Linked DNA regions of Oryctolagus cuniculus. The protein of the gene in region 1 interacts with the protein of each later gene in a biochemical or structural test. Links are inferred from orthologs where the notes say so. Each region holds a gene or a part of one and is shown in the gene's direction. Other genes may lie near its edges.

Region 1 (5,019 bases):
GCGCACAGGGATCTCTCAGTGTCCTGCTCCACCCCAGCCCACAGGGCCATAAACACTCGTGTGTCTGCAGTCCCAGCCCCGGGGATTCCAGAAATAACAGCAGGGCCCTGCAGCGGGAGGCTGGGAGACAGAAAGACATTTCTACCGGAGGACACAGGCCCCTTCCAACCCCGGGCCGCCCCTGCCCAGCAGAGCACAAAGCGACCTTCAGCAGTCGGGACAGGGAGGGGCAGCCGGGAGGCAGCCTCCCCCCACCTGCCCCTGCTCTCGGACCCTCCCCTGTAGGAGAGCCTCTTGGATTCCTTCCCACCTGCGGTGTCCTTGACCACCGCCCGCCCCCTGGGCGTCCTGGAGCGGGGGTCCCAGCAGCTCCGGGAGCCTACGTTCACGGGAGGAAGCTGCAGAAGCAGCCCCCTCCCCAGCCCAGCCGCACAGCCACCGTGGGTGGAGCGCGGGGGACTGGGCGGTGCCGGGGGGAGGGGCAGGTTAAAGGGACTCCCTTCCAGAAGCGCGGTCCCCACGAGGAGAAAAATCAGGAGTGGACACGCGGGAGCGAGTTTTAGCTCTGCAAAAATAAGGAGCGCGGGCACCGAAGACGACGATGTGGGAAACACGAATAACCCGGTGGGGGGTGGGGGGACCACGAACACTGCTGGGCGCAGGCAGGGGCGTCCCGGCCCTAGCTGCGCGCCCAGGGCATCTCCCACTTTTTAATAAAGACGATCCCCAGCCCGGGGCCGCCGGGATCCCCGCCTGCCTGCCAGCACGGGGGTTCGGGGTGCCCGTCTGGAAACCCCAGCTGCTCCTGCACTAGCCGCTTCCTCCAGGAGCCAACTCCCCTTTCCGATGGGGATGGGATTCTCTCTAATTCGCAGCCCTGATGGCGACGTCATTAGAAAGGCTGGGCTGCGCCGTCGCGAGCTCCAAACCTTTGTCACAGACAGGGCGGTGGAGGAAAGGCCGGGGCGTGCGCCGGCACAGGGCAGAGCCGGCCGCCCGCCGAGCTCCGGCCTCCAGTCCGGGCCGGCCGGGCGCCCCGCACCCTGCCGCGGGGGTCGCGGGGGTCGCGCGCGCCGCGCCCAGGGGCGCCGGGGCGGCGGGGAGGAGAGGCGAGTGGGTAACAGCATCGCCATGGCAACAGTGACGTCCTTGTACCCTGGATCTAATTGGAGGAAACCCCGTGGCCGAAGCCGCAGCCTGCCGGCCAACCGAGCTTGCCCAAGCCGACCCACCCTCCGAGCCGCCGCGTCGCCTCTCGTCCCGCCCCTCGCGCCCCCTTCCGCGCGCTCAGCCCTCATTGGCCAGCCGCGGGGCGGGAGGCGGGACCCTCCCGGGAGGCTCGGCGCGCCATTGGGCGGCGGCCCGCCGCTCGGCCGCGGGGTAGGCTGAGACGGGAGGGTCCTCGGCTAAAGCCCAAGGCAGATCAAAGTGGTGGGACTCGCGTCGCGGCCGCCGAGACGTGAAGGTGAGCTCCGGAGGCGGCCCGCGGGCCTGCTGCGGCCGCGCGGGGGCCCGTGGGGCCGGGCTGGGGGGCGCGGCGCCGGGGGCGGCCGTCTGCCGGCGCCGTGCTCCCTCAGGGACGGCTCCCGGCGGCGCGGTGCGGGGCCAACGGCCGCTTCCATCTTGGGGCGCGCGCGTGGCGGGAGCGGCCCTCCCGCGGCCCCCGGCGCGCTGCCCTCCCGCCGCGGGCCCGGGCGCGGGGCGGCTGCGGGCGGCGGGCGCCCGGCGCGGGCTGGGGGCGAGGGCCACGCACGCGGGCGGCGGGCGCGGGCAGACAAAAGCGGGCGGCGGGGCGGCGGGCCGCATTGTCTGACGCGCTGCCCGCCCTCCTTTTTGTCCTCGGCCCGCCGCCCCGCCCCGCCCCGCGCAGCCCTCGCGGAGGCCCTCGTCGCGACCCGCTCGTGCTCGGCGCCCGCCATGGAGAAGACGGAGCTGATCCAGAAGGCCAAGCTGGCCGAGCAGGCCGAGCGCTACGACGACATGGCCACCTGCATGAAGGCCGTGACGGAGCAGGGCGCCGAGCTGTCCAACGAGGAGCGCAACCTGCTCTCGGTGGCCTACAAGAACGTGGTCGGGGGCCGCCGGTCCGCCTGGAGGGTCATCTCGAGCATCGAGCAGAAGACCGACACGTCGGACAAGAAGCTGCAGCTCATCAGAGACTACCGGGAGAAGGTGGAGTCGGAGCTGCGGGCCATCTGCACCACGGTGCTGGTGAGTGGGGCGGGGGCGGGCCGGAGGAGCCCCGCGCGCTCCCTTTGTGCGTGGAGGGGCGGGCCCTGAGCAGGTGGGACGAGGCGGACACTTCGCTTTCCCGAGTGGGAGCGGCGGGGCGGGGCGGGGCGGGGGGCGGTTGGTGCTCGCGACGTGGGCTCAGGCTGGTGGCTGTCGTCGCCGTCGCCTCGCGGTCCCCAGACGCTGGCGCGTGCCCCCGGGCTCGCTTCTGGTGCTTTCCAGGTTCTGGACTGCCCAGGGTCAGGGCGGCTGCCGGGAGGAGTGGGTGGCCCCGGTGATTCACCGTTACTAGCGAGAGCGGACAGTTTTAGCTTTGTCATGGCGAAACGCTTTCTGATCCGGGAGATAAGTGTGCAGTGCTGGCATTGTGTCCCGGAGTGTCGCCTGCCCCTCTCGGGCCGCTTTGACAAGAGCCTTGCCGGCCTTGCACGTGTTTGTTCCACAGCGTGTTTAGGGGGCTGGGTCGGGATTTTTCAAAAGGGCGTAGAAGAAAAAAATTTTTTTGCCTGTTACATCTCCATCCATCAGACTGTTTCCTTCTCCACCCTAGGAAAAAAAATATTTCTTTTTTAAACCCATCTTTTTCTCCTATAAATGACAGATAACATAAACAAAGTCCTGTCTGATGGAAATAGCTAATAATTGGGGGCAGTACAGAGTGCACTGAAGTGGGGAGAACTGTGGGGATTGTTCGCTTTAGGAAGGTGAGACTGCCCACTTCGTCCGCGCGTCCTTAGCCTGTAGCTCCTGCTGGGCATAAGGGAAGATGTGAACGCTCTGTGTCGAGTGAGTTTGCCAGCTTAGTAGGGTTGGGAGACTTCACTTCCACACACGTAGTGGCTATGGAGGGCATCGTCTGCTCCATGTCTCAAGTTTCCTGTGCGTGTTTCAGGCGCCCTCACAGCAGCTTTCAAACTCTTTCTGTTCGGTTATTACTTTGCCATGTGTTAGTTACCCTGCCACAACTCAGAATTAGCCCTAGGTTCTTCCTGTTCTCTAGCCAGTTAGCTCTGAGCCAAAGAAATGTTTGTTTTATTTTATGGCTGTCAACGAATTTTGGGTAAGTGGAGGGGACTTGGCTGAATCGGTAGTGGCTTCAGTGAGGCCAGGTTTCTCAGGCAGATGGTTCATGGGAGAGAACCCTGAAATAAGGACATTCTTTTTAAATGCTGTGAGGAAATAAGAGTTTAGCCTGATTGATGAGACACTAATGCGTAAGTAAAACATTTTATTAGTAACGTGGTTTAAGAGACTAATTTCAGCTTGATGGCCCGTCTAAAAAATACCCTGGGAAAACACATTTCTGAGTTGGCAGCCATAAACGAGAGCTTCCTGTGTGCAGTGTGAACGGGCCAAGAGCCGTGGCTTTGCCCTCCTGTAATGTGTAGTCCAGGTGCGTGTGAGAAATTCCCAAATGTCCAGAATGCAAGGTGATTCCCAAAGATGGTTGTGAGCAGAATGCTGGGCGCGTTGAAGGAAACAAGCCTCTAGGAAGGCTCACTGAAAATCGTGGCTTTTGGGTTGAGCATTGGGCGGGGTGTGTGTGTGTGTGTGTGTGTGTGTGTGTGAGTATCCCAAGCTGAGGAAATACACAGAATAGTAGGGCCGGCGTGGGGGAAGCAGGCTTCAGTGTGCAGAGCTGTTGGAGCAGAGAACCTGGAAGATGGGCAGTGTGGTCTGTAAGAGCTGGTAGTGAGGGGTTCCTCTTTGGGTGGAGTAGGGACACGGTGAGGGGTTTTGCGTAGTGTGCATGTGGCAGCATCCAGGATTCGTGCTTGGAGTCCAGCCAGTCCAGTCTTTCAGACAACGGAGTGATGTATCGGGCTTGTGAACACGAGTAATGATTGACATATTGGTAGTTGGATAAGGAGTCTGTTGAAATAATGAAAGAAGAGGTACATTTAAAGTTTCTAAACATGCATGTTAAAACAAGGTTTTCTTCTCTGTTAGAAAGGCAAGAGAATTGGGTGAAGGCAGTAGGCACAGCGGACTTCATTGCAGAGGGCTGTAGAGCAGAGTGACCTTGAAGGACAGCCAGACATTTTATCCAAGATGGCAGAGTCCCTCCACCTCCTCTTTGCTTGTCGTAGAGTATTGGGGCACAGACAGCTGTACTGTTGTTCAGTGCACAGAATACTCCACGGTGGTCACCCCTGACTCCTGAAGACTACTGCATTGAGTTACTGAACCGCAGAAGCATAGAAAAAAGGTTTAAATCCAAGTGAGTGCTCTTTAGAGAGAAAAGAGGCTAAGAGGGCCAAAGAAGACGAAAGCGAACTCTGAGTGGAGCTCCGGGAGAGGTTAGAGCAGATTCACCAACTTGTCTGTCCCTCAGTCTCATTTGAAAAACTGGGAGTTGGAGTAAAATTTTCTTTTTCTTTCTTTTTTTTTAGATTTATTTGAGAGGCAGAGAGAGAGAGAAAGTCCTTCCATTTGCTGGTTCACTCCCCAGATGGCCACAATGGCCAGAGCTGTGCCGATCAGGAGCCAGGAGCTTCCTCTGGGTCTCCCAAGCGGATGCAGGGTCCCTAGGACTTGGGCCATCTTCTGCTGCTTTCCCAGGCCAGAGCAGAGAGCTGGGTCATAAAGCACCAGGACTTGAACTGGTGCCCACTTGGGATGCTGGCACTGCAGGTGGCGGCTGTACCCGCTATACCATAGCACCGGCCCCTGGAATGAAAATTTCTGGGTCTGTTCAGGTTGAAGAATGTGTTGTTGTCAAGTGATACATGAATTGTTGAAAAGCTGGTGGTATTAGTGAAATGAAGGCCTCAGGAGTCGTGTGTG
Region 2 (4,938 bases), on another chromosome or scaffold:
TCGGGGTCCAGTGCCCAGGTCCTGCTCCTAACTCCAGCTTCCTGCTAATGTAGACCTGGGGAGGCAGCCGCCATGGCTCAGGTACCGGGGTCTCCTCCACCCACGCCACCCACATCGGAGATCTGGATGGAGTTCCCAACTCCCAGCTTCAGCCTGACTGGGCCGTTGTAGACTATGGGCAAGTAAGTCTTAGTGGATGAAGGCCCTTCCCAACTCCTACACCTAGCCGCTCAAATAAGTGAATAAAAGCTCATGGAAAATGCACACTTTTTAAAAAATATTTCATTATTTATTTGAAAGGGAGAGTTACAGAGAGAGAGAGAAAGAGAGATTGATCTTCCATCTGCTGGTTCCCTCCCCAGATGTTTGCAACTGCCAGGGCTGGGCCAGGGCCGAAGCCAGGAGTCCAGAGCTGCTTCTGGGTCTCCCACGTGGGAATGCATGCTATGTTTATTTTTTAAAATTTCATTTTATTTCAAAGGCAGAGAGACGGAGGAGAATCCCTACAACAGCCAGGGCTAGGCCAGTCAGAAGCCTGGAGTCCGGAACTCAATCCTGGGGTCTCCCATGTGGGTGGCAGGGACACAGGTGTTTGAGCCATCACTTGCTGCCTCCCAGGGTGTGGATGAGGAGGAAGCTGGATTGGAAGCAGAGTAGCGGGGGCTTGAGCCCGGCCAGTCAGGGACGGGATGCGGGCGTCCCACGTCGACCTTACCGCTAGAAAAGGTGCATTGTTTTTTAAAAGAAAAAAAGATGAGACGATCTCTCCTGCCTTACCTGGCAGGGGCACTTAAAGTCATCTCTGGGATAAATCCGTTCGGTGGAGGGGACAGGAGCCTAAGCTCAGAGATGGCAGGTGGGTTTCCCAGGATCGCAGAGCTGGGGCTGCAAGGCAGGCCCTGGGCGTTCCCGCAGCGGAGTGTGTCGGACGCTGACCTGGTCCCTTGCCGACCTGCGGACCAGGTGCGGCCATTCACAGACAGGAGAGCCCGTGGCAGGTGGTGGGCGGGAGGCAGGTAGGTAATAGACTGACGTTGCGTTTGTCAGGTGACACATGTTGACGGCCTGTGGTGCGGGATAAACAGAAGATGGATTTTATGAGATAACCGACAGGGGGACGAACAGACACGCAGCAGGAAGCTGCTCCAGGTCCAAAGTACACCGGCCACAGGGATGGATGGCTAACAGCCTCGTCCTCTTTTTAGTCAAATAACAACACGCACGGGGACCCACGCGTCCCGTCCAAGGTTTGAAAATACCCGAAAACTGACGGAAAGAAACGAAGAGCCAGGCTCTGGGAACCCCGGGGGGGAAATGACCGCGGACTCGGCGGGCTTCGGGTGTTGCCGGAAATGGCCGACTGCCGCCCTCGGCCGCTCAGCAGGACGGGGGCGTGGCCGGCTCCGCACGCGGAGCCTCTTCGGGTGTTTCCGGAAACTGCCGAAAGCCGGCTTGACGTGGGCGGGGAAAGGGCGGTGGGCGTGGCTTGGGCGGCTCAGGAGGGCCCGGAGCCGCTTCGTAGATTTCCGTAAACAGAGCCGAAGCTCGGTCTTCGGAATCGAGGAGGTGCGCGCGTCTCCGGGGATTACCTTCTTCGGCTGTTTCCGGAATTGACCCGTAGACCCCGGCCGAGAGGAGAAGGCGCGCCCCCCTCCCGTTCCTAAGCGCTTCGGATGTTTCCGGCTGCCGCCGGCGGAAAGAGCCGAGGGCCGGCGGTGGTGGCGGCCATGTTGGGAGCAGCAGGTCCGGCGGCGGCTGCCTGTGTGCCGGGCGCGGAGCAGTGCCGCTGAGGGCAGGGGAGGAGCGAGGCAGGCGGCCGGCTGCGGCGGCAGAGAGTAGGCGGAGCGGCGCAGCCCGGCCGAAAGGCGGCACAGCCCAGCCGGGGGTCGGGGGGGTGCGGTCCGGAGCCGCTCGGAGCCGGCGCGGCCTAGCCCGAGCGGCGCATCCCCGGGCTGGCGTGAGCGGCTGCCCGGCCTCCCCGCACCCCCGGCCGGGGCCCATGCGGCGGGCGCTCCTGCTGTGAGAAGCCCCGCCCGGCCGGGCTCCGCGCCTTCCCTTCCCTCCCTTACTCCGAGCTTCTCGGTTCCCTCCCCTGAGATACCGGCGCCATGTCCAGCGCCCGGACCCCCCTACCCACGCTGAACGAGAGGGACACGGAGCAGGTAAGGAGCCCCGAGGGCTCCCCGGATTCTCTGGCTGGGCCCCTGCACCTTGCGGAGCCTCCTCCCTCCTCTGCTCTCCTCGTGCCCCGGCTGCCCTGTCATCCGGCCCTGCACATCCCCCTTCCGAGTCCTGACCCGGGACCCACCTTGAACTGACTCCAGGCTGCACACTTGTCGCCCTGCCAACCCCCCTCCGCCCCTCGCCGCCCTCCTGCGCTCTTCCGTGTTAACCTCCTCAGCTTCCCCTCTCTTCCCTTTTTCTCTCTGGGCCCTCTCTGGTCTTCTTCCACCCACGCTTCGAGCAGCACCCCGCGCCTGGCCACAGATCGTCGGCCACCTCTCCCTCCGCCCGCGCCGGCTCTCCCGGTCCCTGCTGACGACCCGCAGGGTCCTCGCCCGGGAGGGTGTTCGCCGCGAGCCCTGTCCGCTTGCGGCTGCCCAGCTGTGTCCGCCCCGCTTCGTCCTCAGCCCCGCGTGCTCGCTGTTGCCCGCAGCCCACCAGCTCCACCCTCATCCCCTTTCCGGATCGCTCGCCTACTCTTTGCTCATCACTTTCCCGTCTTTTCCCCGGGAGCTCCCCGGCTCCTGGCGCTGCCCGTGTCGCTTCCGTGTTTCCCAGCTGTCATGCGCGCAGTTTGCCCACAGGTTGCTCTGGGGTTCCTGTCCTCCCTGCCTTCGGAGCCCTGGGGGCCCCTCGTGCTCTCCTCCCCCAGGGTTCGGTTCCCAAGCCCCTGCGCCTCCTGCTCGGCGCCCTGCGTGCCCCGCCGGCCTTTGCCCTGGCCGCGGCCCGCACCCCGCGGGACGGTCGCTCGCTGTTTCCGCCCTGTGTATTCACACAACCTGTTGCTCACTTCTCTCCCGGGCCTCTGCGGCGCGCACCCGGACGCTCGGTGCCTGTCACTCCCTGCTCACTGCCTTGCTGCCCCCTTGGCTTCGCCTCGCCTCCTCTCCGTGCCTCCCCGCGGGGTTTGCTCCTCTCCTGCCGTCTTCAGGTCCTGCGGACAGCCCCCGCCCCCGTGTGCTGCTGTGCCGTCCCTGCTCCCTTCCCGTTGCTCTGTAATTCCCAGCAAGTGCTTGCCCTATGCCGCAGCCTCCCGACCCTACAAGCTGCCCCCATCCTGGCCGCACTCCCGTGGGGCGTCAGCCAAGCCGTGGCCTGTGCTGTGTGCTCTCACTGGCTGTCCCCTCCCTGGCTGCTGGGACCCTTGCTGAGGGCCCTGCCGGGGGACGCCCTGCCTTACCTCTCAGAGAACTTTCCTGGGCCCAGACAGCAGGGCCTGGCAAAGGCGCCCTCCTGCCCGGGGGCTGCACTGCGTTGGATCCTCCGCCCTCCCTCCTCTGCGCCCCTCCTGTCCCCTTTCCTTCGTGGTCGCTGGGGTAGAGCTGTTGCAGTGTTTTCATTCTCTCTGGTTGACCTGCTCCGACAGACCCTCCCCCGTGTCCTTTACTCCGTGTGGCTGTTCTGTGAGCCTCTGCTGCCTGTCACCTGCACAGTTAGGAACCCGGCAGTTCTGGACGGAGTTTTTCTCGGTGGCGGCTGGCCCTTTTCTTGTGCACGGGTTGTTTGTTTCTGGGGTGCAGGGGCATTGAGAGGGAGGGATGGGCCTGACAGCTGACTCCGTGTGGGGCAGAGTCTGGAAACGGGGAGCTTGGTCTGTGGCCCGCAGTGGTCCTTGCCCTCGCTTGCCAGCTGTTTCTCCGTTCGGGGAGCCACTCTCTGCCCTCTTGAGGCTGCTTGTTCCGTCCTTTTTTCTCTCGCAGCCTTGGTGTTGGCAGGTGGGCCCTGCTTAGCTGGATAACTTTCCGAGACTGTTGATTGGGAGCTGGAAGGAGGGGCTGAGGGCCTAACCGGCACCCCAGGCGTCTGTGGAGTGGCGCGGAGTGCCTCCTGCCCGGGAGGCCGTGGGACCTTGTGCGCACCGGCGTGGAGTCCCGGGCGGCCTCCGTGTGGTTTCTTTGTGCTGTTTACCAAATGTGGGTGTGCTGTCGCCGTGGCCTTGTGAGGTGCGCGTTGACTTCCTCTCATCCTGACACGCCGGGCTCAGGACAGCCGTGCCTGGGAACCATTTTGGAATGTGAGCTGCTCTGAATAACTGTCCGGAGCAGGGGCTGTGTGTGCTGTGGCTCTGCTCTCAAGTCTGGATTACTCATCCCCGTTTTACTCTCCTGGACTCGGGTTCCCCTGAGCCACTTGCGCGTAGTTCTCAGGGTGCCGGTCGCACACAGGGAAGCAGAGTCTTTGCAGAACCTTGGGTGACGCCTGTTCCAGGCAGGTGCTGTGCTCTTGAGAACAAGCAGAAAGACGAGCAGCAGCAGTGCTTCTGATCGCAAGGCCTTCCCCTAGAACAGATCATGCCGCCAAGTAAGGCAAGAGATCTCTTCTCGGTCCTGTGGACATTTCAGCTGAAGTGGCCGTGGAAGTGCAGCCTTTGAGTGGCCTCAGTGTTAGGAAACGGAAAGCAAGGCACTTGGTTGGACTGATTCCCTTGCCTGAAGGGTCCTGTGTCACCTTATTTAGAGTTAAATTATTTAAACTGTGGTTTCCCCAGAAAATCAGTAAATAAACTCCAGTGGTTGCCTCCAATCTCTTTTCTTGCTCTTCCTCTCGCACTTTCTTTAGAACTGTGGCTGATGAGAAGCTGATTCTGGGAGCCCTTTGATCACATCTGACGCACACACACACAGTGTTCAAGCATAGAAATCAGCCTTGTGTGGCAGGGGAGCTGCCAGCTCTGCTCCTGCAGTGAGAGTCGGAGATAAAACACAGGCAGGCCCT

The links.
Region 2: the proteins of YWHAQ (region 1) and MARK2 form a complex in vitro, tested with the Homo sapiens proteins (2 studies listed by BioGRID, with this or other methods). The link is inferred for Oryctolagus cuniculus from reciprocal best matches to the Homo sapiens genes YWHAQ and MARK2.

What each region holds. Positions count from the first base shown.
Region 1 is NC_091433.1:192,508,286-192,513,304, forward strand, and holds the start of YWHAQ (14-3-3 protein theta), read left to right. Parts: upstream 1-1,882; 5' UTR 1,883-1,917; coding exon 1,918-2,211; intron 2,212-5,019. UniProt on the Homo sapiens protein: Adapter protein implicated in the regulation of a large spectrum of both general and specialized signaling pathways. Binds to a large number of partners, usually by recognition of a phosphoserine or phosphothreonine motif.
Region 2 is NC_091432.1:7,361,006-7,365,943, reverse strand, and holds the start of MARK2 (serine/threonine-protein kinase MARK2), read left to right. Parts: upstream 1-1,536; 5' UTR 1,537-2,108; coding exon 2,109-2,162; intron 2,163-4,938. UniProt on the Homo sapiens protein: Serine/threonine-protein kinase. Involved in cell polarity and microtubule dynamics regulation. Phosphorylates CRTC2/TORC2, DCX, HDAC7, KIF13B, MAP2, MAP4 and RAB11FIP2. Phosphorylates the microtubule-associated protein MAPT/TAU.